4 linked regions of the Schizosaccharomyces pombe genome follow. Changing the gene in region 3 together with the main gene of any one other region gives a genetic interaction. Each region holds a gene or a part of one and is shown on either strand. Other genes may lie near its edges.

Region 1 (9,667 bases), 140 kb from region 3:
CACACACATCAATTGAATCAAAATTATGAAAATATAAACAAATCCTCTTTTTTTTCCTTTTCTTTTTTTTTTCTTTTCTTTTCTTCAGCTTTACATCCCTTTGAATCCTCATCATCTGTGCTTTTTTCAATTCCGTTTTGCTTTGTCAATTCTGCTTTGCTTTGCTTATCAGTTCTACTTTGTCGATTGTGCTTTCTTCCTCTCTCTCCATCGTCAAGCTTTGCCGCCCCTGACCCCTTCATGACAACAGTACGACTTTTATCAAGATAGAATAGAACTGACTGGTCATCTCCTGCATCCCATTTATGTAATAAGGACTTTATCTCTGATTCATATTTCACACACAATGAGCGAAAGGGTTGGTTATCATGGAAGGAAGAAAGAGCAATGAATTGATTACGAGTGGAAAAAATCAAATGCCGCACCTTTTTTCCCTTTTATATATAGAGGTGAAAATCCCTCCATGTGTCAACTCAAAATAAAAGTTGAACAAATTAACATCGATTATTGTTTGCACGTTTTTCGGCAGCTAAATCCCCCCGCCCGCTCCAAGATACTAAAAGTTTGGAAACCATTGTAACATAAAAAGAAAAGGAAAGTTAAAGAAAAAACAAAAACTAAATTGTTATTGTTGCTGTACTAGACTATACTCTACTCTACTTTACTATACTATACTATACTATTCTATTCTAGACTATACTATTTTTGTACAGTCTATAAAAACCATCTTGTATACATTTTTATCTCTACATACGTGGACGTTGATTCCATAAAAACATAAAGGTGTTTTTCTTCCTTCACGAATTTTATTGATGAAGAAGTATTAAACACTTTGCTCTTTTTCCAAATCCCATCCATTGCTCGTTTCTTCAATCACCGTGAAGTTTCGTAGTGATTTTTTTGTGATTTCTTTATCGTATCGCACTGTTCGTTTCGTTTCGTTTCATAAATACATCATTTTCGTTTCGTCTCTCGTCAATTCTATTTGGAAAATCTTGTTTCCTCTCTTTCGAAAACTAAGCAAAAACTTTTTCTAGTATTTCTCTCTCTCAACCATTTTTGGTTTGTTTCTTTTTATTTTTTTGGTGAATCAAGTTTGACTTTTTTTTTTTCTCTCTCTCTCTCTCTCTCTCTCTTGATTCTCCTCCCTTCTTCCCATAATGATCGGTTCCATCAATGAGTCTCCCATCGAGGAGCATATGAATGACTCCCCCTCTACAAAGGAAAAGGCCGACTCCGTCGACATCTCTGATTACATCGTTAGCCATTCCGATGACAGTTTATCCAAAGACATCAAGAAAGACACAAAGTCCTTTCTCGATGTCGAACATGGTGAAATTAGTACGGTTGACGAGTTTGAGGAAGACTCTCCTTATCCAGAGGTTCGTGCCGCCGTCCCTCCTACCGATGATCCAAGTATGCCATGCAACACCATTCGCATGTGGACCATTGGTCTCATCTATTCCACCGTTGGTGCCGCCGTCAACATGTTCTTTTCCCTTCGAAACCCAACCGTCACTTTGAGTGTTTTGATTTCCGAGCTTCTCGCATACCCAGCATTACAGATTTGGGACTTGATTTTCCCCGATCGCGAATTTCGCATTGGACGTTTAAAGTTTAATTTTAAGCCTGGTCCCTTTAACGTTAAAGAACATGCTCTCATCGTCGTTATGTCGAGTGTATCGTTTGGTAATGCCTACTCCACCGATATCATCCTCGCCCAACGTGTACACTACAAACAGCGCTTCGGCTTTGGCTACGAAATCTGTTTGACTTTGGCCACTCAACTTATCGGATACGGATTGGCTGGTTTATCCAGAAGACTTTTGGTCCGTCCTGCTAGTATGTTGTGGCCTGTGAATCTCGTTCAATGCACCTTGATCAAGACTTTACATCGCAAAGACTTACGAAACGCCGTTGCCAATGGCTGGAGAATTTCCCCCTTCCGTTTCTTTTTGTACGTTTTTATTGCTTCATTCATTTGGAATTGGTTCCCTTCCTACATTTTCCAAGCCCTTTCCCTATTTGCTTGGGTCACTTGGATTCGTCCTAATAGTCCAACTGTAAATCAAATCTTTGGTGAATCCACCGGAATCTCCATCCTTCCCATGACTTTTGATTGGAATCAAATTTCCGCATACATTCTTTCCCCCCTCATGGCTCCTGCCGATGCTTTGATGAACATTCTTTTGGGCGTCATTCTATTCTTTTGGATCGTCACTCCAGCCCTTAACTTTACCAACACGTGGTATGGTGATTACCTACCGATCAGTAGTTCTGGTATTATCGATCACTTTGGTAATAGCTATAACGTTACTCGCATCCTCACCAAGGATGCTACGTTTGATTTGGATGCCTATCAAAACTATTCTCCCATTTTCATGTCCACCACCTACGCTTTGGCATTTGGCCTTTCCTTCGCTTCCATCACTTCTGTCATTTTCCACGTGATCCTATACCATGGAAAAGAGATCTACGACAGGTTACGCGATCCACCCGCACCTGATATCCATGAAAAACTCATGAAAGCCTATGATGAAGTTCCCTTCTATTGGTATTTGAGTGTTTTCTTGGCCTTTTTCGGCATGATGATGGGTACTATTTATGGTTGGAAAACGGAAACCCCTTGGTGGGTTATCATTGTCGGTGTCATTTTCTCTGCTGTATGGTTCATTCCAATTGGCATCGTTCAAGCTATAACCAACATCCAGCTAGGCTTGAATGTATTCACCGAGTTTATCGTTGGTTATATGTATCCTGGTCGTCCTTTGGCCATGATGATTTTCAAGACTGTCGGTTATATTACAATGACTCAGGGATTGGCTTTCGCTGCCGATCTGAAGTTTGGTCATTACATGAAGCTTCCTCCCAGAATCATGTTTTACACCCAAATGATTGCCACCATATGGTCTTGCTTTGTTCAGATCGGCGTATTGGATTGGGCTTTGGGTAATATTGATAATGTTTGCCAGGCCGATCAACCTGATAATTACACTTGTCCTAATGCAACTGTCTTTTTTAATTCTTCCGTTATTTGGGGTGTAATTGGTCCCAAGAGAATGTTTTCTGGAAAAAACACCTATACGGGATTGCAGTACTTCTGGCTCGCTGGCGTGCTGGGTACAATTTTGTTCTGGGCTCTATGGAAGAAATGGCCTCAAAAATGGTGGGGTCAATTGAATGGCCCGCTAATTTTTGGAGGTACTGGTTATATTCCCCCAGCTACTCCTGTAAACTATCTGGCTTGGTCTGGAATTGGTCTGTTCTTCAATTATTATCTGAAGAAGATATTCGCAGACTGGTGGCAGAAATACAATTTCACGCTTTCTGCTGCTCTTGATACTGGTACGCAGTTGTCGGTCATTATACTTTTCTTTTGCTTACAGTTGCCTATGGTTAATTTCCCAGATTGGTGGGGTAATGATGGTGCCTTTAATACGCTGGATGCTACAGGTGCCGCTGTTAGGAAACTCGTCAATGAGTCAGCAGGTGAATTCTTTGGTCCCGCCGAATGGTAAAATCAATGCTGTATTTTTTTCTTTGTTTTTTTTTTCCATCTTTTAACAAATGATAAAAATTATAAGCATTGATTTGTATACTAAAGCTTCGTGAATTAATTATGTCTACACTTTCTTTTAGTGTTTGAATATTCAACATCTATGCAATATATATTTTTGGATGATTGATTGTTGTCTATTTTTTTTTACGTTGCATGATTAGATTTGTGTTTAATCAATCGTTCAACAAGTTTATCTCATGTTTATTAAGCTTTCTAATTTGTTATTTTTTATTAATTGTTGTTAGAATTGAATAGTTCGTTCTAAATTGAAACAAACGTTTGCATTTTTATATACGTTTTGTAATGTGAACATCAGTAATTTCATTTTCACTTTTTGTATACATCCTCAATGTAGCGACAAACACTCACTAAGTAAAGTAAATATTGTGAAGGTGCAAATTTTAACTTGATTTCATCTTATGAATGCATGTTCGTATGATAATAGATATGTAAATGACCGATGACAAACCTATTCATTAACTTGATTTATATACTGTTCACGATATTAATACTCCCACAATACACTAAGACTTGTTGATTTCTTACATTAAAGGAAAACAGTAATCAGTTGTTATTAAAAACACTGCTGATTCTTACTAAATAATATAGTTTTAATTATTAAATCAAATCAATCTCATAAGAATGAGTTATAAGTAGTATTCTATAACTCTGCCACATGTGATGAATGGTAAACATTAAGAAAGCGTGTAGTTTTTGTTGTCCAAACGATATTATAGTGAACTAGACACGACAGACAAATTTTATCACTTCATAAAGTACTAAAAGTATGCATGCGGGACGGCGTTCAGTGCAAAATTAAAACAGTAATGGAAAACGGGAAGAAATATAAAAAGAGAAGCCTAAAGATTTTTTAATGTAAAATAAACATATATAATTTCACATCCATAACATAGCTAAATGCATGGAAAAGGGCGTTACAACCCTCAACGGAGGGAAAGTCAAAGGGAAGTAAAAACGTTATTCTTCATTACAACCATCACAGACTGAGACCTTTTCAGATCAAAAACAGTCTAGTACCCTAAATTGATTCTTTGAGCAAGATCACCGCTTCCGATGACACTTGTTGCAACAGCAGCCGAATTACTCTTGGCCACTGGGCAGTCTTTATGAGCAATCAATAAGGTCTTCAAACTCACAATTTCCTCACGTAATGCACTGACTTGTGCACTTAAAATTTCATTTTCATTACCATAAAATTCAACCTTCGCTTGAAGATTAGAAAGCCATTGTTTTTTACGCTGTCTACATTTAAGAGCAGCTTGTCGATTGCGTTCCAGGAAGCTTTTACGTTTCTCTTCATCAGTTTCGTTTTTGGAATTCCGGCGAGATGAACCTTTGCTATACGAAGTGCCGTTGGCAGATTCACTAGAAGCCTTACCATTAATGGAAGAAGTGGGTGAGGATTGATTATTGGCATTACTAGAAGGCTCTTGCGAAGTGGAATAGTCAGTACCATTTTCGAGTTTGACCGGCATCGAATTTGCCGTTGGCATATCAGAATTAGAAGTTTTTTGCGGTAGATTTGTGGATCCATTCTCGGCATTTTGTCCGGAAAAGTCCGTGGTTTGGCGTAATGTTAATGAAGGGTCGGCAGGATTAACTGTATCGCCGTAAACAGATGGCATGCCGTTAAATTGTTGCGACCCCATAAAGTACATAGGCTGTTGCTGAGTACGAGATGCTTGAGGGTTCATTGTACCTGTAACAGCTTGGGGGTTAGTATTTTGAGTAAAAGATGGCCGGATAGAGTCGGGGAAAGTCTGTTGCTGAGTTTGCTTCAGGAGGTTGTTGGCAGTGGTGGATGCTGCTTGATCGTTTTCAGAGGAGATGGGTTGCTGAAGCTTTTGCTGCTGATCGGGAACCTGGGAGAGTAAGCATAACCCATGAACCGCAGCATTGGCACCGAAATAATCAGACTGGTCACCATTCGTCCCATTTACAACAGGCGGTTTACCATCCCTTGGGGTAAAACGATATTGATCAGGAAATTGAGAATCAAACGTATGAAACCCTAATAAATTGGCAGTACCAGGTGAAGGAGCGGGAAATCCAGCTCCAGTAGGGGTTAAAAGAGATCGGAAGGGTTCATTAACACCAGGAGTAAATCCAGTTCCACTAGAAAATCTAGCTGCTGCAGATGCATCTGAAGGATTGTTTAGGTAGTCAGGACGAAGAGTAGCATCATAAATAGCAGGAGAAAGGGGATTATGCATTGTACCACGAGTAAAAGCAGACCAAGCAGGATAGCCCAACGGCGAGGCAATACCTGGAGCTCCACTTAAGATATCAGGTGATGCTATGGAAGAAACAGGAGGTAAGAGAGTTCGCGCAAACGCAGGAGGCACACCTGAAGGAATGTTACTAAGGCTAGGATTACGATTAAGAGAAGGATTTCCTTGTCCAACCGAAGCGGTAGAGCCAAATGAATGCTCAAAGGGGTTGGGTTCGTAATCCAGCTTCAAGGAGCCTACGAAAGACGGAGTTACACCATCGGATTGGTCAGCTGGATTCGCATTAGCGACAGATCCGGCCCCTCCATTAGGAGCGATAGTTGAAGACTGTTGATTCTGCTGAGAATTGTTGCTTGGTGGTGCAAATGAATCAGATTGATTGTTTTCCGGAACCTGAGTACTGGAAGCAGTAGCATTACCATTTGAAACAGCGGCAACAGATGCTGGTTCTGTGGAAGTATTGACGGGAGACGGGGACATAATTGAAGAATTTATGCTTTAACACTTGACAAAATGTATTAAGAGATGACGTTAAAAATCACACACGCTTAAATAACGAAAATAAATAATTTAGATATATAGATGAACCCGTTTAAAGAGAAGATCGAAAATAGTTTTGTCAAAACTAAATAAAAAAACAACTACAAGAAATTAATGGCTTTCCAAATTTGACAAGACAGAAGTAATAACGGCTGATAAAGCAGAAAAAATAGAAACTATATTGTTTCAATAAAAAAGAAAAGAAAAAAAAAGGAGGAGGAGATTAAGGAGATAAAAATACAACTTTCTCGAAAAAAAAAGGGAAAACCGCGACGGAGGCTCTAGACGAGAATTAGTTAGATGTCTGTACAGGCAAAGCTAGAAGACTAGATATGCAAGATTGTGAAGGAAGATATTCTACAAAGGGTAAAAAAAAACTCGCAAAGGTAATAGTCAAGTTTGTAAAAGAACATGTCCAAATAAAATAACAAAGAAACTAATAAAGAATTACAAAAGATAAAAGGGATGTTCCTACTCTTTGTTCTTTTCCTTTTCTTCGTTCGATCGTTTTTGTTAGGGTGTGTTGATTTGGATTATATGAATGTGGAGGCCTTTTTTGAATGAGTTTCAGAACTTAATGTGAGAGAGTACAGTCAAGCGTAGAGTAATAAAGAGATTCGTACTTCAACAGCAAATACACCTGCTAAAACACCCGTTTTTCTTTTTTGGAAATTTTTTTGCCAAAAACGAGACAAAACGGGTTTTCCGCTCTTCTAGCTTCCTTTCTACTCTTGTTCTCTTCCCGTGTGCGTTTATTCACTTCCGAGAAATCATTCATCAAAAGTTGCCACCACATAGATCCCAGTTCAGTCAAGGCAATAGTAACCTACAATGGTAACAAGTAAAATTTTCTAGCACAACAACACCAAAAAAAAATTTCCAAACCCTCAAAAAACGAAGGAATTCCAAACACATTTTACGTTTCCTGTAAACTAACAACCCCATAACGATCAGTGTTATTGATAAGAAAGCGTCATACTCGTCATGTTTAGTAGGGTCAATGACGATAGGAGCAAATTTTCAAATTTTCATAAAAATTCGGTTTTCAACACAACCCGTCACGTTTTTATCACGCTCTTCCAATTTTACAGCCTTTTACATAATCAAACTTCACAATTGCATGTATAAACACATACCTATTTGACTTAATCAACCAAACGTACTAGTAGCAGGTCGTCGTCATGAACCAGAGAATTCGTAATTCAGATCCAACTAAGCGATGACTACTGTATAAATGATGAAAAGACTCGGTCAACTGTCCAAACTGAAATTTACAAACAGAAAAATGGTTTTCGTCAATTCAATCGTTCAAAAAGTGCTCAAAGTAAACTTTTTAGCAATTTCCTAAGTAGTTTCTTTCTTCTTATGTTGTAAGTAAAGGGTAAGTTGTAAATTCCTAGTGCCACACTTCCACCTGTTTCAAACAGATGACGTCATTGCATCACTTTGCATGATTGAACTTAACCAATCACGTGCGGGGCTCTGAAGAAGGGTAACAAGGAAATGGGTCTGGAATAAACCGAGCAAGACGATACTTAAAGTACTGCTGTGTAGTTTTGTATTTTGTGTTATCGTATCGTTAAGAAACGTATCGATAGTTTGGGGAATGGGAAAGGATGGACGGAAAGTAGGATGTTATTGGTATATCATGGAGTGCGTGCTTTTTAAGCAAATATGATGTTAGCAATATGTAGTAAAAATGGTGAGTTTGTGTATAGTGCCATGAATCTTATTTCACTCTTAACTCAAGCTTATTTTATATTAACCGATGAATGAATAAATAATATATCTTTGATGAAGCTAAATCGTTGCGTGTATTTCTGATATTATGTTGTATGTAGGTAAGTGTTTTAGGTTGGACTTCTGCGTGTTTGTAAGATGTGTACGTACGCTGAGTAATTAGCAATGTATGAATAGATCCAGCAGTTCCAGAAGACCTACGAAAAAATAAAATAAAATAAAATAAAATAAAGTAAAAAATAAAATTAAAATAAAAATAAAGATAGGTTATACGCAGAAATAATATACAAGTTTCAAATATTATGAGTACTTGTCACGAATTCAATTATGGAGAATTCTGTACAGTAGGATCTTTCAAAAAGTCTTTACATAGACTTAGATTGTATATATAACATACCAACCCTTACAACATTTAAATAACAGTTTTAATAGCTAATTCATTTGTTTTACAATGAAATCTTTTGCTTACATTTTCGGGAACTTATTAGTCAATACGGGTTGGCATTTTGTTGGGATTACGGATCCGAAAACTACCCAAAAGATAAGCAAAGAAAATGAAGTTTTTTAAAAACAAAATAAATTTGTATTCGTGAAACATAAAAGAATAAAAAAATTAAGTTAGAAACATTTTATGCAAATCATTCCATTCAATTAGCAATTGTGATGGAATTGGTTATACCAATAGATATTTTACACTCATTTTAAAACAATTAAAATTAAGTGAATATATTTGTGTGGTGTGTACTGAGTCAATCATTAATGCAATTAGTTATATTAATAAAGTTCTTTTTGTTTGCGATAACTTTCGTCTCTCTTTTTTTTTTTTTTTTTTTGTTAATTTTTAATTTTTTTTAACACGGCATCTTTCTTCACGAATTTCCTAACTGGAGCCATCAATATCGTAGCGTACACAAATTTCCGTTAAAGCATTTTAAATTGCAGTAAGCTACGTTAAATGAATGAACGAAAGCTAACCCCCGTTATCGGAGACAAACCAGCCCCCTCCTACAGAAGTTGCGCTGCACTGCTTAAAATCCGCACTCGAATTGTATAAAGTAGCTTTTTTGTTTATAACCCGTTTCTCCATCTACCATATGTCAAAGAATCCTCTTGGAACGTTGGTTGTCCGAATATGGAAAGCTGTAAGTCTTAAAAGATGAAGATTTGTTTTGTAAAACTAACGTGTCTTCTTTAGAAAAATTTACCAAACAAGGCTCTAGTGGGCAAACAAAGCCCTTACTGCGTTTGCAGAGTTGGTGAGGTGGTAAAACGTACGCAAACGGATAAGAGAAGCGGTCAAGAACCATCGTGGAATGCGGTACTGGAGTTTAACATTCCCAGTGAATCTTATCATATTATGAAAATAACCGTTTTTCACGAGGGATTTCGAAAGCATCCACACTTGATTGGTGATACTGTATTGTCTTTTGAGAAAGCGATGAAAGAAGAGTTACAAAGTGAATGGTATGAACTAAAAAATGAGTTCCAATTTGCTGGCGAGCTATCTGTGCAATTCAAGTTTATCCCCACTGATCCTCTATACTTTGACCGTGCTTCTTCTAAGCCAGTTTTACAA
Region 2 (7,848 bases), 1.3 Mb from region 3:
GTTTTTGACACAATCTTTCATTCTTTAAAATAAAATAAATTTATATATTTCTACATTACATTCTTATTTGTTAGGTAGAAATGGGATTGGGATTTTCTTCGAAAAAGCAATTACCTGCCTACTGTGGTCCCTTGCCTGTGGGGTCTTTAGTCTTAGAGCTGAGTGTTCCAGAGGAATTTCGATGTGAATATAAAACCATTGAACACAAACTAAGAACCGTAAAAGTACGCATTTTTTATCCATTGGACCCAACAAAAGATGTAGAGCCTCGCACCGATGAGCTTTGGTTACCATTCCATGAGGGTATACCCGAAGTTGCGAAAGGTTTTCGTTGGTGGCTTCTTCGTGCGTTCGCTTCTGGTTTGACCAACTTAGCTTTGCCCGTCTACAAAGGAGAGTTGTTTCATCCACCGAACAATGGGAAACTGCCAGTATTTATCTTCAGCCATGGATTGGTTGGCTCGAGAAATGTGTATTCTTCGTTATGTGGTACAATCGCTTCCTATGGTATCGTCGTCTTGGCCATGGAGCATAGAGATAACTCGGCCATCATATCTACAGTGCGTGATCCATTACATCCTGAAGAACCCCCGTACGTTGTTCAGTATCGCGAGATAAGCGACTTTTATGCAGACGCTACGGTTGTGCTTCAGAATGAACGACTTTTATTTCGACAGCAGGAAATCCAAATAGCCCTCCAGATGATTCGAAATATCAATGACCTTGGAACTCCGGACGAAAACTTACCCTTTCTTTGCTCTGTGGACTCTTCTTTTTATAATTCTGTTTTCCAATCCATGAAGGGTAATTTGAATACCGCTCAAGGAGAATTGATTGTTGCTGGTCATTCTTTTGGTGCCGCTACTTGCGCATTCATTTCCGGTTCTTCTACCAAGTCCTTATATAATGACTATATGTTTCACACTGAGTTTAAGTGCTCCATTTTATACGATATATGGATGCTTCCCGTACGCCAGCTCCATTTGAGTACGATGAGGTATCCTACGCTCATGATTATATCTTACGAATTTCGTCGGTTTGTCGACAATTTTCAAGCTCTCGAAAGTTGGCTTGTAAACAAGGATTCAGAAAACCAAAACGCAGGCGAATCCGCTGATGAGAAAATGTCTGTCGTTCCTTTAAAAAAATATTCCCACGTGTTTGTTTATGATGGAACAGTACATGCTAACCAAAGCGATTTACCGATTTTGCTCCCTCGCATGGTACTAAGGGTATTGAAAGGAAAATTTGAAGCAGACCCTTATGAAGCTTTACGCATTAATACTCGTTCATCTGTACAATTCCTTCGTGAAAATCATGTTGAAAATGTTCAGGGAGATAATGATCCTTCGTCGTTGCAAACAAATATTATTCCTGGGTGGGAAAGAATTATGTAGTATTTACCACTTTTACAAAGAGCTAAAAACTCTTAAAAACAAAACTCTTTTGACTTTTCTTGTCTTTTTATCTATCGCCGATGCTAATTATAATATTTATTGACTGTCATGCTAATGAGTTAACTGTTTGGCACAAATTTCTTATAGCTTATAAAGAAGATTTTCGAAAGCTTACCTGTTAATGTGGATTGAATATGGTAACTATTACTTTTTGGGAGCCTGTGCTTAGGACCGCGATGATTAAGGACGAACATTTACGCTAAGTGTGTGATTTTGAAAAATTTAGACTAATATTTATAATTTGTAATATGTCTTATATACTGATAGATTCTTTTATCATTTTACATTATTATTTATTCAACAAAATAATTTACCAACCAATTACGAATGAAACCACCATTAATTATAGATACAAGGAAATTCAATGATTATTAGCGGATATATGTATCTAGTTGTTGCACAGTTTCAACAAACAATGCTCTTTTGTCTGTTCAACATGAAGAAGAAATGACTTGGGGTTTAACATAACCATAAAAAAACAGAATATATAAATAAAATGGAGTGGAAATACATCAGAGCAGGCTAATTGCCTGGAAAAACATCAAAATAAATAGCTTCAACTGAGATCATCATATCCCATCCAAACATAAAGTCGGTCCATTACACCAGCACAAAAAACTGAAGCCAATATTGGTGAATTGCAAAATCAGTGCTACAAACGTCACTTGCATTGCACTAAATCAAATAGGCATTCGTTGCTCAACGCTTTAAGGCAATAGTACAATGAATCAATAAGCATTCGAGTATCTTAAAACAAAACAAACGTGGCACAAAACATCAAAAGTCCTTAAAGATAGAAGTAAATTCAGGATCTTCAGATGTTCCATAATCCGTAGCTACATCAGCATAAGCGTCAAATTGACTGGAATCACCCATTCCAGCTTGAATGGGAGGAACATACGGAACCTCAATTTTCCGAGTAAGGATCTTGTCCCAGCTGATATCACGGAACCAAGGGTGCATAATAATATCCATGCTACCATCTTTCAAATTTCCATAGCGGCAGGTTATGTCTCGCTGAAGTAAATGGCTCAACAAATCAATACTAGCAGGAGAAAAGTACGATGGATAGTTGACCTTGCCTTCAAGGATATTCTCATACAACTTCATTGGATTCTCAGAGTAAAATGGAGGATAACCCGCAAGCATTTCAAAGATAAGAATACCAAGGGACCACCAATCTGCAGCTTTGTTGTACGGTTTTAAAGATATGATTTCCGGGGCTAAATAATCGGGGGTACCACAAAGAGTACAACAGTTGCTAGTAGAGACGCGTTTGGCAAAACCAAAGTCCACAATTTTCAAATGACCAAACCGGTCAAGAAGAAGATTTTCGGGTTTTAAATCTCGATATACGATTTGATTGTGGTGAAGATAATCAAGAGCAAGGATCACTTCTGCTGCATAAAATTTGGCAACTTTTTCGGGAAATCGATGACATTTACGAAGCAAAGAAAAAAGCTCTCCTCCTTCAGCAAAATCCATGACCATAAACAGATTTTTGGCATCTTGGAAAGTACCCCATAGAATGGTAATGAACGGGTGTTGGACACGGGATAAAATGTATCTCTCATCGCAAGTGTGCTCTATTTGCTTCATATCAACGATTTTTTTCTTTTCTAAAACCTTGATGGCGTAATACAGGCGATTGTGATTCGACTGAACGAGATGAACTCGACCAAACGAGCCAGTGCCCAATGTTTGTAAGAAATTGAAATCTTGTATTCCATATCGATCTTTTGTGGTGTGGTCAGCAGGACGAATCCTTCGACGCTGTAAATCGAGCAGCTGACTAACCCGAACTTTACGAATATGGCGATCGCGTAGCCCATCCATAGCTGACCGTCTCTCTCCGTGTTCTGAACCTAGTTCACCACGACCGTCCCGCGAATGTCTTTGATGGCTGCTTTGGCTACTACTTCTACTCGCGCTTTCAGGAAGAGGTGAAGGGATCAAATTATCGATGTTTTGGTAACCAACAGAATGGGCACTTGCACAGCCAGACGTACTGGTGCTAACCAAGCTGTCGGGTTTTTTGCTTTTCGTGGCCTCTTCCAAAGCTTTAGGGATGCCCGAAGTCCACAGACTTGATTCATTATGGTTATTATGACCATTGCTTACACTTGCATCACTACCAACAGAATCATGAACAGAGGGTTTGCCATTAAAAGAATTTGTTCCATGTCGCTGCTGTTCCGAATATTCATTAACGCTGCCGGCATTCATAGATGGATGCAAAGAGGCACTTGTAGATAGAGTGTCAGTTGAAGAACCCACGTTAGTACTTCCTTTGGAAGCAACGGCAGTCGTATCCATGAGTACAAATGTGAAATAGCGTTTATACACGAAAAGATAATTAAAATTCACTAATCGTTCGTCAAACTTATAAAGTACCCGAAAACAAGAATAAGGTTAAAAGAGGTCGAGGCAAAAAGGTCGTTACCTTTGAACAACCTTCGAATATATGTATATAAACCGCAACAATAGCAGTAATCTTAGAGTTCTTTTTTGGTGCGCTGCTTATTATAGCGAAGCAAAAATAAATAAAGAATCAGCGTAGATAGAAAGAGCGAAATTTACTTCCTCTAAATAATTTATTAAAATAAAGAGGACAGCGGCAGAAAAGAAACTATTTTAAGTGAAATTCCAGTCGCTCAACACAAGTAAAAACCCAACAAGAATAAAGACAAATAATACTCGTTTGCTCAATCAATCCGGGCAAACGAAATCCTTCAAAGTAAAATTGGAAGCAACTTAATGTCTAACAAACTGTTATTCCAAAAGTACAAATGAACACGAACGATAATTCGATACACCTGAGACAAAAAATAAGAAGATAAGCTAAATCGACTCTGAGTCCTTCAAAGATAATCTATAGCAGACAAAAATAGATAACAATAGTTATAGCAAGCGTTCAAAAATACAAATTAACATAAACCGACGTTACAGATTCACGGTTTTCACAACAATACTGAGCCTTTCACTCTTAGCGCAGAACCAAAGGTGTATTAAGTAAAACTACAAGTCTTTTTGATACAGAAAGCTTTTGTAGAATTAGCGGCTTTCGAGAAACGAGCTATTCACACTTCCTATGCGTTCGCAAGCTTCAATTTGTGTTTTGCTAACGAAAGAAGTGTTGTGTCATAGGATGCAAGGTTGAAGTCATGCCCTTACTACCCCTCAAAAACGAAGGAATTTTTAATGAGGCGAATAATCGTACGTAAATTATAATAGGGGAATTTAATGTAGATCGTTACAAAACTTCAGCATCTCAGTGCATGTCGGATTTAAAGACTTCTATTTAAATTTTAAGATTGAATTCGTCAGGTGGATTTAGATGGTTTAATACAGTGTATTAATTATCGGGTGTAATTCATTAAATTATAATATTTGGAACCGTTACTCGAAAGTCATAGATTCGAACATCAAGAACTTATGTAAACAGCATACAACGATATAGTGTTAGTTAGTAGCTCGAAGTGTCATGCTTAAATCAATTAATTAACGAAAGGAGGGAAAAGATATAGAAAAAGGATAAAAAAGCTAATCTATTTTCAACGGCGCCTTGAGACAGGCGGTATTACCCCTTGAAGAACCATGGGTGCTTAGTAGTTGTCGCAATAATATTCTTTTTACTTTGCCCAGTGAAATAGTTTGAGCATCAGTATTCCAATTAACAATTTATTATTAACTTCGATTTCCTTTTAACAAACCATTATTTGAAGATAGCTATTAATCATGATCGTGAAAAAAGTGTTGCATTGGATATGCCACCTTGTATATTAATTGAGACATTAAGGTATTTATACAAGTCGTTAATTTTAAGGGGTTCTATTTTTTTAAACTTCAATTTTCCTTTTGAAGGATTGATATGATGGAAAAGATTTTTGGAAACCATTCAGCCCATTAGCATATCATATAATTAATAAACGTAGTTCATAATTATACAGATTCTTCATTATGATTATGAGAATACACATACTCCCATACTCTCAAACTCAAATCTTCTACCAAATCACGAGAAAGGAAAAGATATTGACGGGAGTGAAACTTATTCAAGAGCACACCAGTCCAACAAGACTCAAAAAATTGTAACAGTATTTGCAAACTTAATAAACGGTCTCTAGTTAAATTATCAAAGTCCATAGACAGGAGTAATTTAACGCCTAGAGAAGTTTTATTATTTGATTCTTGTAACGATGCAACGTTTAAGGGGCTATTCGAGCTTTGGAACAACCTGCTTGTTTTTACCAAGTTCCAAAGTGGGCTTGAGGTATCTTTAAGCTTAGGGAATAGATTAAGTGGCTCTTCTTTTGAACTTGTTCGGTCATAAGGCATCAGTGTCAGTGTTTGTGATTCCCTTAATAGTTCACGGTAATCACTGTTATTGTCCAAATCAATTTTTAAATTCCAATACTTATCACCCAACGTCGACACTGAACTAATGCTATCGTACGGCGGCAAAAGTATAGGCGCTTCTAGTTTTTGAACTGCGCCGCTTTTTTGAACAACATTTAATGGCACTATGCATGGCTGTTTGGTATCTTGATTTCTCGGGATAATACAACGTTCTTCCACAGCTAAAGCCCACAAATTTCGAGCAGCTTGCAAATGTGCACGATTATCTTGAGTAGTCCTGGGAAATTGCGGATAAAATGATATTAACAAAGCCGCGATTGCTAAATTACTGCGAGACAAACTATACCTTCCTCCACCTAGCGAAAGAATTCCGAGCGCCATATGAGTAGCCATTTGAGCCCCGTAGTTCACAGGCTCCATTCTCCCATGTAGTACTCTTAACCTTCTCAAAACATCTAGATCACAATAACCCGCCATAACACAAGAAGAAGACAAAGCGACAATTTGTGTACAGCGAATTACAGTCACTGCAGTTACTCTTTCATCGTGTGTTTTAGCAGGCAGATGACACAACCGAATGAAGCTATCTAAAAAGTTGATGAGAATTTCCTTGGCTTTCGGATTACCCGTTCCAGCAAACCTTAAACCTAAAGAAAAACAAATCCCTGCTAAGACATTATAAAGCAGCAAGTCGTCAGAAGAGAGAACCTTTTTTTCCTGTAAATCAAATTGTGAGAGCATTATATCAGGAATTTGATATTTCACCCATTCATAATCTGCTTTGACTTCATCCCACATAATTAAGTTTTTACCGGCAACTCGCAAAAGTATTAGATCTGGACGATAGAAATCAAGAAGATATCGCGATTTAGGAATATCAATTTTTTTCGCAACTTCCAAATCATTAGTCTTCATATATATCATAGTCAAAGCCATAATGGCCCCGGGAGAACCGGCTTCTAAAGACTGAAATGTAGCCTGACTAGATATTCCCACTTGTAGCCTTGAAACGAGTTTTAAATCAGACATGCCTGGAAGATTAGATCCTCTCCCTAAATTAATTAAACCAAGAGAAAATCCAGCAGCTAACTTATAGCCTTCATTCTTTAGTTCGCTTTCATTAGAAGCCAAAATCTCTTCCATGGTCACTTCAGACATGCGTCTATGACACGAATCATGAAATAATAAACCAATTCCTAGAATTCCTGCAGTCTGAGTTAATGGTGAAATATTCAATTCATTAGATCCAACTGGCAGTAATGCTGAAATGTGCACACTTAGCAATTTTGTAACCTTTGCATCCATACTCCCCAAATACGAGGATGCAAGTCCAAGTAAAAGGCCTATACTGGTTGTATCATGCTTGCTAGTAAGATAAATAAAAGAATGCCAGGTAGCAAGGGCCTTTAAATGACCGTTTAGCCCTAGACCAAAAAGAAATCCCGCATGGTAAGCAGTCAAAGTTTCAGGTCGATTGAACATAATCCAACTAGTGTTTATTTCCTTTGAAAACTTAGATATCGATAATCCTAATGCAACGCCAACATTAAACTCTGGCCACTCGGTTAATTCCTGTGTTACGAACTCTTTATTAGGTTGTATAATTAAAGTTCCAGGATGCAAGTGCAATGTAAAATTAAATAATCGTGGAGTGACCTTTTCCGTAGGTAAAGGATTTTTACTACCATACGTAAGCATACCCGCTCCAATTGGCACGGACAATGTTCTAACGCAAATGCATTGAGCAACTTTTTGTTGCATTGGTACTGAACTCAAGTCGACATCAAAGTGTTCAGTCATTATGGTGATTTGACTTGAATAATTTAAAAGTTTATTCACTTCTGCCAGTCGTCGATCCTCTCTAAAAATCATATCCGTTACAACCTTATAAGGATGAAACGACTGCGTGTCAACAAGTGTAGAATCGGTAACTGTACTAGTGAGTGCTTTTATTTCTTTGACTTCTTGATCCTGCTTATTAAAAACCCATTTAGGTGTCTTTGGATGTAAGAATGAATCAACGTCAAGGCGA
Region 3 (7,566 bases):
TCAACAATTCATCTCTGCACTTGCTCCTTTCTTCTTGGCAAGCTAGAAAAGCGTTCTTGCTTGCTGGATCCTGTGGGTGATTAACCACAATTCCAGAATTTCGATTTCAGCTTTCATATCCCCTGGTCATTAACGCGATTACTCTTACTCAGGTTGTTCGGCTGTCTACTGTGTTAAAGCAATAAAGAAAACACTACTTTTATCTGATTAGAAATCGAACCAAAATTAAAAAATTTATCTTTTATTCATTCTACACAAGTTTGGATTGTATTCTTATTTTTTTTATTTTATTTTTTTTTTAATTAAAAACTTCGAAATTCTATAAACAAACGTTGAATTGTCGAATTTGGATTTTATTTTTTCTTTAACCACCATTTTTTATTCTTACTAATATCCTCCCTTCCACCATCCTCGTTTTCTTTTACATTTGTTTTCCCTTCTTCCTCTTGGATTCTTATCATCTCCCGTGTCTAAAAGTTTCCATCTTACTCGTTTTTCTAACAAAGAAATCACTATTTCTCATCGCGACGAGCATTAGTCATATTTGAGTCGCGTTTCCTTTTCCTCTTTTTTAATTTATTATTTTTTTTTTGTTTTATTTATTTATTCTTTTTCACTTTCGTCTTTGGTTCTTGTTCGCGTCTGCTTTTCCTTTCTTTGTTCTTTCCCCTAGCCTCTTCGATTAGAGATAGATACTTCTTTCCATATCCAAACTTACTACTTCTCTGCTTTTCCCCAATGTAAATGGGAATTACCCTGAACGATTTCTTGTAAATTCCTTTGTGCTTGATGAAAATACTTTTCAAGAATTCTCTTCTCTCGGCTTTTCTTAATTACTCGATTTTTTCATTTTACATTCACAAATCCATATTGCTGTGCATACTTATTGACATTAGGTGAACTCATCTCTTTTTTCCCCAGTCCAACTCTTCCACCTAAGTCTATTGACTTACTCGCAAGCGTTGATTGTCGATTGTGTTTCCTTCTCATCCCCTCTCTTCTTTTTAAACCGAACATTCTATTCTCATTTTTACCTCAATTTGGAAAGGATATACTACTAGGTAAAAATTAATTCTACTTTTCTCCCCCATCTTTAACCGACTACTGACCTGTACATTTTCCCGATTTCTCTTACTGTTCCTTTGGAAAATCGTTGTGTGTCTTGTTTGTACGTTGATCTTTAGAGTTTCCTTTGATTATCTTGAGCATTCTTACTTTTTATTCCCTGCTTAAAATACTAATCATCATTTTTCCCGGTTTTTTATTCACATTCCCTTCTCACTTCCATTCGTTGTACTCAAAAGGACCTGTGCTTTTTAATCATAAACATTATATATTATTCGTTTTAACTCTTCCTTCCACAATTGCATTTCCCCTTTTCTTTATTAATTTTGTTTCTTGCATGTTGGTCGTTTTCTCTGTGATTGGCGTATTCGATTCTCTTTTTCATTCTTCGTTGTCGTATTTTTTACCTGCTTACAATTGAAAAAAAAATTTTTTTCTTGTAAATTCCCTTATATTATTAAACCTCAAACGATCAAGATAAAACCTATCATTGTGTTATTGACTATTTTCCTGTTTATAACGATCTTTGTTTTTTTTATCATTGATTTTAGAAGACATTAGAAAATCTAACCTTTCTCAAAGTTTTTTTTTTGTTTCGGTTGCAAAGTTCTTTAAGCTATTCAAAACTTTATCATCCGAAATACTTATTTTCTATTTTCTTATCTAATTTTCGCCATCAATTGGGACTTTATTTAATTTATCTTTACTAAACATTAGATGATGCGCGAAAATCCAGAACTCCTTTTGGGTCAGGTCTTGGGTGATTCTTTACGATTTGTTTCTATCATCGGTGCCGGTGCTTATGGTGTCGTGTACAAAGCAGAAGACATTTACGACGGTACCTTGTATGCAGTAAAGGCTTTATGTAAGGATGGCTTAAATGAAAAGCAGAAGAAGTTACAAGCTCGCGAACTTGCCTTACATGCTCGTGTTTCTTCACATCCTTATATTATTACATTGCACCGCGTGTTAGAAACGGAAGACGCCATTTATGTCGTTCTCCAGTATTGTCCGAATGGCGACCTTTTTACTTACATCACGGAGAAAAAGGTATATCAAGGGAATAGTCATTTAATTAAAACCGTTTTTTTACAGCTTATTTCTGCTGTTGAACATTGTCACTCAGTTGGCATATATCATCGAGATCTTAAACCCGAAAACATTATGGTTGGAAATGATGTAAACACCGTATACTTAGCTGATTTTGGTCTGGCTACTACAGAACCCTATTCAAGTGACTTTGGATGTGGTAGTCTGTTTTACATGTCTCCAGAATGTCAACGGGAGGTGAAAAAACTTAGTTCGCTGTCAGATATGCTACCGGTAACTCCTGAACCTATAGAATCACAATCATCCAGCTTTGCTACAGCGCCAAATGACGTCTGGGCTCTGGGAATTATATTAATTAATCTGTGTTGTAAGAGGAACCCTTGGAAGCGTGCATGTTCTCAAACTGATGGTACTTACCGTTCCTACGTTCACAATCCATCAACCCTTTTATCCATTTTACCCATCAGTAGAGAGCTCAATTCTCTACTCAATCGAATTTTTGATAGGAATCCCAAAACCCGAATCACATTACCCGAACTTTCCACGCTAGTATCAAACTGTAAGAACCTTACACGACGTTTACGACCTGCTCCCCTTGTTTCATCTCGTTATCTCGCATACCAACAACAACAACAACAGCAACAAATGAATTTGCAACAAGGAATTCAAGGTTACCCTCATCAAGGCTATATGCCGACTCAAAACATTGGCTTTCCCTGGCCTCCGACTCCCCAGTTTGTAAGTAATTGGAATCATTGTGCTACTCCAACGATCCCTGTCTCCTTACAAGTCCTTACACCAAATTCTTCACTTAAAGTAGATCCGACTACACCTCTTACAGCACCTATTCATGCAACCGAATCATTCTGGCCTTCTGCCGCAGCGGCGGCAGCAGCTGTCCATAACAATGCTAACTCATATATGCCTATTACACCCACACCCTATCCGAATAATGCAAAAATTTTCGGTTATCCTAATCAACCTCCGCTGACTCCCATACCTTTTACTGGATTCGTTTTGCATCCTGCACCAGTTGGTCGTGCTGCTGATGCCGTAGATCCATCTCGAAAATCGCTCTAAAGTTACTTGCTTCTTTTTTATATTCGCTACCGCACGTTGTTTTGTTCAGGGTTACTGCAAAACATTATAGAGGGCTTTGACTGCCCCAATAATTATTTCTCGGGATTTGAATTTTAACATTGTGTAAATAGCTAACATTTTATGCACTTGTTTTATACTTATATTTCTTCTTTTTTATATGTTTATTATGATGGTAGCATTATCTTTTTCTGTTAACAACATTGATGAATTTTTTTTGCTTGTGGTTTGTTCTTTAAAACAAAAATTTTTTTATAAATATATACTTAAAAAAAAAAAAAAGAAAAGGTAGACGAATGGATCGTTTTAACGACGGTTGTAATAGTAAATTTAAAGAGTTTAGAGCATGAAGCATGCAGTCATATTGTATCACCGCTATACTCGAAATGTTGAAGAGATAAAGCAAACTAAGCTTTTGGAATACGAAGATAGAAGGATATTATTCATAACTTGTAATAATATTGTTAAAAGTTAAAATATTAAATTAAATTTATAGATATCTTCTTGTAAATTCTAATATTACAATATTTTTACTGATATTTTTAAGCAATTATTATATCAAATATCGTTGTGTATATAGAATATTTTTTGGACAATATTTTCAAAAATAAAGATATTGTTAAGTTAAGTAAAGATATATTTTAGTAAAGGATGATAGAGAAAGAAATTAGAAAACTAGGTTTGAAGATGCAATTAAATTATAGCAATAATACAATTATAAGTTTCCTGTAAGGGGACAAATTTTACTAAACTTTGTTATTTATTATCTTTACACGAATTTCCACTGAATGTAAAGTGTATGTAGTAAACATTGTAACAAAATTCATAAATTTATATGTATATAGTTTTTTACTTTAGGTTGCATTAATAGATGATACAGTTTTTCTGTTTTAGATAACGCTATATTTTAAAAAACCAATGCTTCTAAAATTCGTTAAGCTTAGATAGGCATAGGAAAGTTGAACTAGGTCGAGAATTTTATTAGGCTGTACACAGAGGTTATCTGTGTGTTTTGTTAATAGAGTTTAACCGTTTTGGAAGCTAATTTACAAATACCGTAATGATTCTTGCAGTACACAAAAATGGCGTTTTTTTGATAGTATAAAATTTTTGGCAGTGTTTTTTACTCTAATAGGGCGTGAAGGTGCGAGTAAACAAAGAAGTGGAAAGGAAGGTCGGGACTGTAACTCACGCGAAAGAGTTGTTCTAGTAGATGGAATAGGAAGAGTTACGCTACTTTGCCACGCCAGGGGAGAAAAAGTAAATTTGGAAAGGAATAGGGAACCTTTTTCTCATAGCTTTTTGGGGTATTGTACGGAATGCATCATTACCATCATCCGTACACCACAGGAAGAGTAGCGATGGCAGGTGGCATGTTCCGGTAAGTTATGTTTGGGCGAAACCGAATGCGAGACCTTTTAGGCGAGATGAAGATGGTGAGATGGTGAAACAAAAAGGTTAATTTGCAGGGAGAAAAAAAGGTTAGACGGAGGGCTGGAAGAGGGATGTCAGCTTGAGTGAAGAGCTAACAAGAGCGGAAAAGAATAGAGAGGCAAAGGAAGAACACTATGGTTTTGTTTAGGGAATAAGAATATGAAGTTGTAGTGCATATATAGTAAAGGAATGGAAAGGAATGAGAAAGATAGAGTGGATAGATGAATGATGAATGGATGAATAGGTGAATGAAGTGGAATATGTATTTCTATAAAGAATGCTAGGAGTAAAGGAATGAAATAGAAAGGATTGGGTAAGAAAAAGTGTGTGTATGTATGAGTGTATTAGTGAATGAGATTCTGTGCAAACGAAAAAGTAGGATAATAAACTTAATGGATGGAAAATCAATTACACAAACTATGCTGTCTACTTAAAAAAATAAATAAATAAATAAAACCTACAACTCGACAAACCATGCTATCAAATATAAAAAGTCTACAGGCTGTACCACATAATGTGTTTATATATGTGTATATTGTGCTATGAGATGTACTTGTACATAGCTGTAGTTACAACTTGGATATACGTGCTATACCTATTATTTAGTAGAGCGTGCAAGTAAACATATTATACCCTAGTCTTTTAACTCTCTCTATATATTCGTTACGACGACGCTTTGTCTATATGTTATCCTCGATGTGTTACGATGTTACAAGTTACACTGCGTTATGCTACTTATCCAGCGTCTGCAGTCTTACTCTTTCTCTCTCTCTCTCCATTTCCCTCTGCTCTCCCTTTCATTTCACAAGCCCACGTTAACCTCACATAGCCCGCTTACAGTGCATTGCCCTACATCGTTATATCGATGCGTTGCGTTGCCAAAGAGGCGAGGAACAATATTCGTCAAGATTTTGCTTATCTCTAACAACAAGAGTTTATCCGTTCCAACCATTTCCCTGCGGTAATCCAATTGTTATCCGTAGCGAAGGGTTCAAGTGCCGCTGACATCAACCGAGCCCATCTAGGTAACGAGGTATATCGGTCATCGTGTCGGGGTTGCTAAATAGGAATGGTTGCCTTGCAAATCGTTACCTGACCAGAGCTGCAGCGAAAACGTAAACAAAGCGTATGTACGAAGGAAGAAATTGGATGGAAAAAATGAATCGACAAAACAAGGCAAAGCGCAACTCCAAGCAAAGTGACACATGACCGAGCATGAAAACGCAATCCAATGCAATGCCACACATACACTCAGAGATGCAATGCCACGACGATGGAATGGACAATGCAGACCAACGATTTTGAGCAGAGAAATATTAGCTTGACATGATGTGAGATGGGTGGAGATGTGGAATGGAATGGAATGAATGGATGGACATGAAATGAAATTTACCAAGTAAACAAGAGAGTTAATAATAGTAAGAATGATTTGTCTCCTAGTCTCAGCAATAGCAACACTTGACAGTGACTGCAGTCTCATACTCTTCTAGTCAAGTCTCATCCTCTTCCACTCTCTCAATTCCTTTTTATCAATGTTTCTTCCTCTTGTTATGTACACAAACGATGATCTCTTCTCTCACCTCATTGCTGGACTAATATTACTCGTGGCCAAGCGAAACACAAGTGGTACTAGATAACCAAAAAATGATAAAGCATTCAATCAATCAAACCACTTACGAAATTCATACTCCCGTAAACGAATGCCGGTCGGACGCATGGAAAATCATCAATACGTGAGAGAGCTACTTAGTTGTGCACTTTGTATATGTCCAAAAATACTTTTCATTTCACATACCTGCTTGTGTAAAGACAGTGATGAAATGCGGTGCAAAGTGTCTATTCTTACATTGATGGTAAAGCTAATTCAAGCATGCTTGGAAGAAGAATTGCCTTGCATTTCTTGATCATTTGACCCAGGCGACAACTATAAAATAAGAATACTACCGAAGATGCAGATGGGGTGTGTGGGCACAACACCATCGAACCGAACCGAGACGGCCAGACTGTGATAACAAAAGAAATGCATTAGTTTAGTTGGCTGGTTCAAGTTGGTTGAGTAGAAAAATCCATCACTCAAACTGGGAAGTAGGGATGGCTGGGAGAATGGAGAAGCGAGACGAGACGAGACAAGACAAGAGGAGATGAAATGAAATTAATGAAAAGAAATGAATAGAAATGAAATAGACATATGAATAGTATAGGGCAGGTTAGATGTTTGTATTTATAAATGTTTAATGCTTAGGTTTGTATTTATGTTTACGTTGGTAATGTTTCTTTTGTTTGTGTTTGTGCATCGGGTGAACGAGTTGGTTACCGCCGCCGCCGCTTCCTTTTGCCTTGACACACACCACGCAACGTGTTACGGTTCTTGAACGGAATTGCGTACTTCGATGCAGAGCGCTATCGGGGGGATTGGGGATGGTAAATGGAAGAAATCAAAAACTTCTTTTGACGTCAACCCCTAAAACAGGGGACGGTGATTGGTGGTAACCACGGACCGGATAGGTATCGATATGCACATCAGGTGAGAAGTTTTTCCGAGGCCAACTCCGGCTCCATGGTATATAATAGAGGGTTGCGCGCTACTGTTGCAGTATCATACTTCCAAAGGTCGTATAGAACACACACACAAATTAGCAAAATGGGAATTCTCGATATTGTACCTACTGGTGTTATTACAGGTGACAACGTTTTAAAGTTGTTCACCTACGCTCGTGAGCACGGATTCGCCATCCCTGCCATTAACGTCACCTCCTCCTCCACTGCTATTGCTGCTCTTGAGGCTGCTCGTGAGGCTCGTTCCCCCATCATCTTGCAAACCTCCAACGGTGGTGCTCACTTCTTTGCTGGTAAGGAATCCTCCAACGAGGGCCAAAAGGCCTCCATTGCCGGTTCCATCGCCGCTGCCCACTACATCCG
Region 4 (6,375 bases), on a different chromosome or scaffold from region 3:
AATGATTACGATTGTTGTTTACCAAATGGAGTACCGCGTCTGAGTGTCTGTTTTTAGATTCGGGAGCATTCTGCTTTATTAACTTACCAAGACATGAATATACTGATATATAAAATGTGCTAACAATTTTATAGAGTACAAATTCTGACAAGAAACTCTTTAAAGCTATAGAGAATCGGTGTCAGGAGGATCTATTTGCATTATCGAGTAGTAAATCACCGGAATATGCTTTCAGCCTAACTCAGCAAAGTCCATTTGGGCCTCTTGATCAGTCCTCTTCTCGTCGTACCTTTATGTACATTGTCGCTACTCTTAATGCCTCTTATCCCGATCATGATTTTAGTAGCCTCCAACCAACAGATTTTTACAAAGAGCCTTCACTATCTCGTGTTGTAGATTCCGTTAATTCTACACTTAATAACATTGGTCGTGGTAGATTGAGTGTGAATGGAATTTGGGAAATTATCGACCGTCATATCAACCTGTCTGATTGCAGCGTTTATTCCTATACTCCAGATAGCGACAGCGATCCTTACGGCGATGATGCTTTAATATGGGGGATGTCCTACTTTTTTTTTAACAAAAATATGAAGCGCATGCTTTATTTATCACTTCATGGTTTGGGCAAGGAAGTCTCGGGTCGGAATCGTTATGGAAATGACGATGATTCTGTGTTTACACCACTTGCGGACGATGCAGAGCCAAGCGATTTTGATGACGATTGGGTTGCTAACATGGATGATTAATTTTTTGGTTATTTGGGAAGTAATGGTTTCTGCTACTTTCTCTTTTTCTCTCTTTACATTTTGTTCAACTCGCAAACTAAATTGCACCGTGCTCATTTTATTATTTCAGAATCATGACTTTTCGAAATTTTCTTGTTTTTTCTAATTGTAAATACATGAAACCTCACCTTTCTTTAATATCTCCCTGTTAATTAGTTTATTTCAAATTATTTATAGCAACCCTTTCTTTTTTGCATTTTTGAAAAAAAAAATATGCCCCCAGCATTTTAGGTACTTCTTGTTTTTTGTTTTTTATCCTTTAAGGAACCTATTTTTTCACATGTGATTTGTACGTTAAGATTTTCCAGACTGTACTACGGTTTCTACTCTCTTGCAACACACGTGTTTATACATAATAGATTAAAAAATTTCCAACAACTGTTTCATAGGTTTGTACATGCAATTTGACCTTAGAGGAAAATTTTTTAATCTGTCCTCATTAATCATCTGAGCCTAACTATCTTTAAACGTTCACATCAAGTTCCCGAATATTTGAAGCCTTATTAAGCATCATCTTGACATAGCATAATGATGTATTCAGTTATTCAATTTAAAAATTACCTTTTCTTTGAAAATACTTCATTTACAACAAATAAAAGCTATGCATTTACTTAAAAGATAAAGAATTAATTTCATAGTAGTTGTATTTAAGGAATTCAAATTACCCTAAGAATTGATGCTTTCCTATCATTTTACCCGAACATGAGCTCTAAGTTGAGTAGTAAAAAATAGAAATGTTGAGTGCATAATTCAAATGTTGAATACTTGTTCTACCGTGCTTCATGATAGACGTTTACTTAACCATTTCCATCATGAAAAGAAATAAATAATAAAGAGAAAAAAGGAAGCATTGATGAAATAACCACAAAAGATTCTTTAAAAAGGACATTTCCGATATTCGCAGACGAAACAAAATAATGCGTAAAGCGAAATGTCTAAAGAGTTATGATAACGATACACATCTAAACCGACGAACAGAAAACGTATTTGCAAGACAGTTGAGCGATTACTTAGTTAATGAATTAAATCAAAACAAGCTTTCTGTTTTTATCACTTGCCGTAAGTGCTGAAGAATGAAGTGGTAACTTGAAATTAAAATTGATCAACCACATAAATTAGACGCTGATAGACAAAGCCGCAGATTAGTAAGAGCGAAAACGCAGCCGAGAAAATGTCACAGGAAACTAGGATTGATTGGGAGTCGTTAAAGCCCCATATATGATGCAAATGAAATCTATAGTAAATTTAGTACACTTTTTAACCGAGAAGTAGGACCCAATGTGAAGAAAAAGATCAAACCTATAGCCATAGGGCTTGACGCAACTTATCCAAAACGCGCGCGTCTTCGCTACAGGCAACTTTCTCGACAAGAATATCATAAGGAGCGAGAAACTTTGGTGCTTGAACAAGCGGTGGACCCGCGTCTGGATACAGTCCATATGGAATAGTGATACGTGAAAGGTTAACATCACTACTTGGCGTGACTAATGAAGGATCAGGGATAGGCGAAGAATAGGAAATAAGGTGAAGTTTATGATTTAAGGAGGTAGTAATACTAAAGGACTGCTTAATTAAGCCGTTCGGTTTGTAATGCAACCCCCGTAGGTTCTCATCATCAACCGACTCTTCATCACTCAAGCTCGCGGCTCCACTGTCCTCATTGCTGTAAGCATTTAGGGAACTATTACCAGTCGTATCTGCAGAGGGAGAGCGTTTAAGGGAACCATCGGTGGAAAGACCGTGATGGTAAGGTTTACGTTTACCCTCCATTTCTCGGTAGGTTAAGAATGAACCGCTGACACGAGAAGCACTCCATGATTTACCATCAGTCCAACGGCGCATTCCAGCTTCCCGTTCATCCCACACAAAAACACTGCCTGCTCGTATCAAGCTTCTTTCATGGTCGGACAATCGACGCTGGACGCGTGGAAGAAGACCAATTCGACAGGCCTCGAAAAGGATAATCGCATCCAACGGGGTCTTAATGATACCTGTATAAGTTTGCATGACGAAAGGCAAAGCCGATCAGATCGTAGTTTGAAGATGAAGTAAAATCAGAAAATAGCTGTCACGAAGATTCAAAAAAAAAAGCGCACTGGATTAGTTACCAATGCAAAGATCAAAAGAATCAACTAACGAAGCTCGGATTAAAGAGAAATAAAATAAATAGTTTTATAAATATAAGTAGAAGATAAGTTGACTGTGCGTGTATATATACAGCTTGACCGATAAATGGGTAGTCGAGTAAGTATACAGGAATGGAGACCTTCAATAAATTATGCAATTCAGTCCGAACGAACGCAAGATCTTAGGAAATTCAAGCAGGGAAAAATTAAATCTAGATATTATCTTCAAAGAAAATTCAGTTGCAAGACTAGCCGATTTGATTACCTTTTAGTACTTTCTAAAAGAAAATGAAACAATTAAACGGCAGGGAGAAGCAAAATTCAGAAACAATGAAGGAAAGTAAAAATTATTTAATAAATGATTTTCTTTCTTTTTTTAGGGAGTTATAATAAATATTATTATTCGCGGTTTCAACTGATCGTCAAAAAAACACCCAAAAAAAACAGACTTGACCAAAAAAACTTCCAATCAAGTATTAAATCTTTACAAACCCAATAGCTCACTTGTATGTTAAAAGCAAAGAAATTTAAATTCAGCTTTTTTAACAATGCTCAAGGTTGAAATTTGGCAATAAGAAACGTCACAAATAGTTAAAAATGGAAACAGTCGAAAAAATCAAGATAGATCAAATTTTTTTCTCAATGAAAAAATTAAACGAATCCGTTCACTAAAATAGAACACCTTTCTACACCGGTTCTCTAGTTGTGGTAAAAAAAGGTCCCTAAAAGTTCTTTGCAAAGGAAAAAGCTAATGTACGACAAGGCAAAGTAGCTGTTCTTTGGTTTACAATGCTTCAATCATACAACCGGTACAACTTCACTTGCTGTTAGTTTATACACAAATTTGCTTAATTTAATTTTGTTGTCCAACCTTTTTATTCGTCAAAAAGACGCTATTCGAAGGTGACAACGTTTTGCTGCTTAATGCAACACTGCGGTTGGTGAAGGAAAAGTTGAGTCAAGTAGGTTGAAAGATAGTTTATATGTGCGAGGCTTCGGTTATGTTAGCGAGTTAAATTTTTAAAACTCAAAAAAAACCTAATACGGTAAATATTCCGTAAATCCCTTACCCAACGCTAATCCCGATAGTTTTAGGCTGGTCTAACAATTTAATAAATATAATTATTTAGTTTCCGCTGCTAGATAAGATTCAAGGTAAACTTTTTCCCCAACACTGTTGATACGCCTTTAATGATCAACAACAAGATTACTTTGATTATCAAGTACAAAGTACAATGGAATATATTTTCAATCCAACAACTGCGTTCAAAACCAAAACCTGCCTTTCCAATATTTGAATTTTGTTATTCTTTAGTAGGGACCGGTTCATAAAACCGTTCGGGCCATTTCTTTTCCGACACTCAATTACTTTGGGATGAGTTAAACAGATTTAAAAATTTCAAAGATTTTCCGGCCCTTTCAGTTGTTAGTTGAAATGCTAAAATAGAATGTCCAAGGGACTATCAAAGAAATCTCGGACCCCGAACTATACTTATTTTATTCTTTTTTTTTTTTGAGTTAATATTAGCCGATGAACCGTTGAACGTGACTTGTTTTAGTAGAGCCGTAGCAGTGTCGATTGTTTCGTTGGCCACCACCAAACCATTCATTTTTGCATCTATTATCCGTCATTATCAGGGATGAAGTAAGAAATAAGTTAGTAACCATACGATCCATGCTTAGATATTAATTAAATAACGAATATACATTAAAAATTTAATAAATAAATAAGCGGAAAGGCTCGGAATGAGGCTGGTTACAATGCACACGTGCATGTTGCAAATACATCGCACTTAATCGGATTAAGGTAGACGAGAGAGGATATCAGGTAACCAGCAATTGGAACAAGTATGAAAAGAAAGTAATTTAGATTGGCAACAGTATGTCGAGAAGTAAAATGATTGATGGGTTCGCAAATGAACCTAAATCAACAGTATCCAGTATGTGGAGAGGAACCAGGTGACTCACTCTTCTTCTCCATTGCTCTGCCATATAAACTTTAATGCTGCAGAATTCTTGTGTAGGTACGTTTTGCAGGTAGACGGGTTCGGTTGCTCTTGAAGTGCAGTCCAACTATTTTCGCCCCTGTCGCAAAAAGAGATGAGAAATATCATTATATTGTGTGGGAAAATTGAGACAGCCAAGAAAAACATTCAATATGACCTGGGCAAACGTGACATACCAGCAAAAAAGATATTTTTTGACTATTTTTTCTTGCGCACTTATTAACGTTTCGTCTGCAATATTTGTTATTATACGTCAGGAGGAAGACTTTTCAAATCTGTAATTGCGATTCTCACACTCTCACTTAAACGTGTCTTTTTCCAGCCGCGAACACTCGCTACCAAATTTGTGGCTTGCGCTCTCAATTCCTCCTCGGACCATTTTGGCATTTGCTTGACAATGCCTTTCCAATCAATGGCATTTATGGAGATTGCTTCTCCGCATTGCCTTTGTACATGTTCTAGTAGTTTTAAACTATCCGCGACGTAAAATTTGCGTTTACCCTTTGATTTCTTCTTTTTTCTCTTCTTCCTTTTCTTCCCTTGATCCTCCTCTTGACGTTGGTTAGAAGAATAAGATGCGATTGTTTTTTCGTACTGTTTTCGACAGCTTTCCGGCGACTTAGTCCCAAGCTTCTTCGATATGCTATGCCATGCAATGGAATCAGATGCCGGTATTTCCCGTTGTATGTTTGAAGTAGTGTGATTATTGTGTGTGAAAAGGCTTGTCATTTTTTTTGTGTGAAAAGACGACCGGTAAGAAGACTTTACCAAGTCTAATAGCTTTGCTTCCTCTTCATTCGTCCATAATTTGCGCCGATCAATTGTTTCCTGAGTACTAGTACCTACAACAAACCTCCATTGACTCATGCACGCGGCAGGTGACGTTCCCAGTTTGTTCGCTATGCTGTTCCACCGCGTTCCCTCTTGTTCAACTAGGGTGTACAGCTTTTTTAGCTCACTTTCCTCCCATGCATTCCTATCTTTCGGATCCAACGGCTTGTAGATTTCCTTCAAATAACGAATAATTCCTTTTCTTGAAATAGAAGTAGGCAGCAATTCGCGTAGTTCGTTGTATAGAAAGTTGATATTTGTATGTCTTAAGCTTGAAGAACTCATCCGGAAGCCAAACTCTTGTAAATCTACGCCTTCATTATTACAATAAGACAAAACTACTTTTTGAATCACTTGTGCGTCTTCTAGAGAAAAATTAAGTTGCGAATCCTCTTCAGCAGCCAAGCTTCCAATGTCTATCTTTTCGTAACCGGCGACTTGAAAAAAAGCACGCATGTACTTTAGTAAACTATTTTCTTTTCGATTCAGAAAAGATGCTACTGACTCTAAAAACCCTTGAAGTCGACTCCCAGCATGTTCGTCTTCCAATATCTCGATCATTTGCTCCCGTGATATAGACCGAATCGTTAACAATTCATCAATCCTTGCTTGAAACCACTTTTCATG

Evidence for each region.
Region 1: of pat1 (region 3) and atf1, a mutation in one rescues a mutant of the other (synthetic rescue), as found in Schizosaccharomyces pombe (2 studies listed by BioGRID).
Region 2: of pat1 (region 3) and pka1, extra expression of one rescues a mutant of the other (dosage rescue), as found in Schizosaccharomyces pombe (2 studies listed by BioGRID).
Region 4: of pat1 (region 3) and pac2, extra expression of one rescues a mutant of the other (dosage rescue), as found in Schizosaccharomyces pombe (2 studies listed by BioGRID).

What each region holds. Positions count from the first base shown.
Region 1 is NC_003423.3:1,544,285-1,553,951, reverse strand, and holds atf1 (Atf-CREB family transcription factor Atf1), read right to left. Parts: upstream 7,736-9,667; 5' UTR 7,488-7,735; exon of another isoform or gene 7,092-7,487; intron 6,633-7,091; 5' UTR 6,292-6,632; coding exon 4,591-6,291; 3' UTR 4,090-4,590; downstream 1-4,089. Other genes in the region: plasma membrane OPT oligopeptide transmembrane transporter family Isp4, read left to right, coding at 1,161-3,518; contractile ring-membrane anchor Fic1, read left to right, coding at 9,186-9,233, 9,287-9,667.
Region 2 is NC_003423.3:392,917-400,764, reverse strand, and holds pka1 (cAMP-dependent protein kinase catalytic subunit Pka1), read right to left. Parts: upstream 3,774-7,848; coding exon 2,235-3,773; 3' UTR 1,808-2,234; downstream 1-1,807. Other genes in the region: plg7 (1-alkyl-2-acetylglycerophosphocholine esterase), read left to right, coding at 81-1,397; cut4 (anaphase-promoting complex platform subcomplex scaffold subunit Apc1), read right to left, coding at 5,400-7,848.
Region 3 is NC_003423.3:1,681,079-1,688,644, forward strand, and holds pat1 (serine/threonine protein kinase Ran1/Pat1), read left to right. Parts: upstream 1-1,782; coding exon 1,783-3,195; 3' UTR 3,196-3,477; downstream 3,478-7,566. Other genes in the region: protein mug124, read right to left, coding at 5,690-6,127; fructose-bisphosphate aldolase Fba1, read left to right, coding at 7,289-7,566. UniProt on the Schizosaccharomyces pombe protein: This protein is a negative regulator of both sexual conjugation and meiosis. It phosphorylates mei2. It blocks the onset of meiosis until conjugation takes place.
Region 4 is NC_003424.3:3,002,555-3,008,929, reverse strand, and holds pac2 (cAMP-independent regulatory protein Pac2), read right to left. Parts: upstream 2,793-6,375; coding exon 2,085-2,792; downstream 1-2,084. Other genes in the region: RNA polymerase III-inhibiting protein Maf1, read left to right, coding at 135-746; RNA polymerase I termination factor, Myb family Eta2, read right to left, coding at 5,164-6,375. UniProt on the Schizosaccharomyces pombe protein: Controls the onset of sexual development, by inhibiting the expression of ste11, in a pathway that is independent of the cAMP cascade.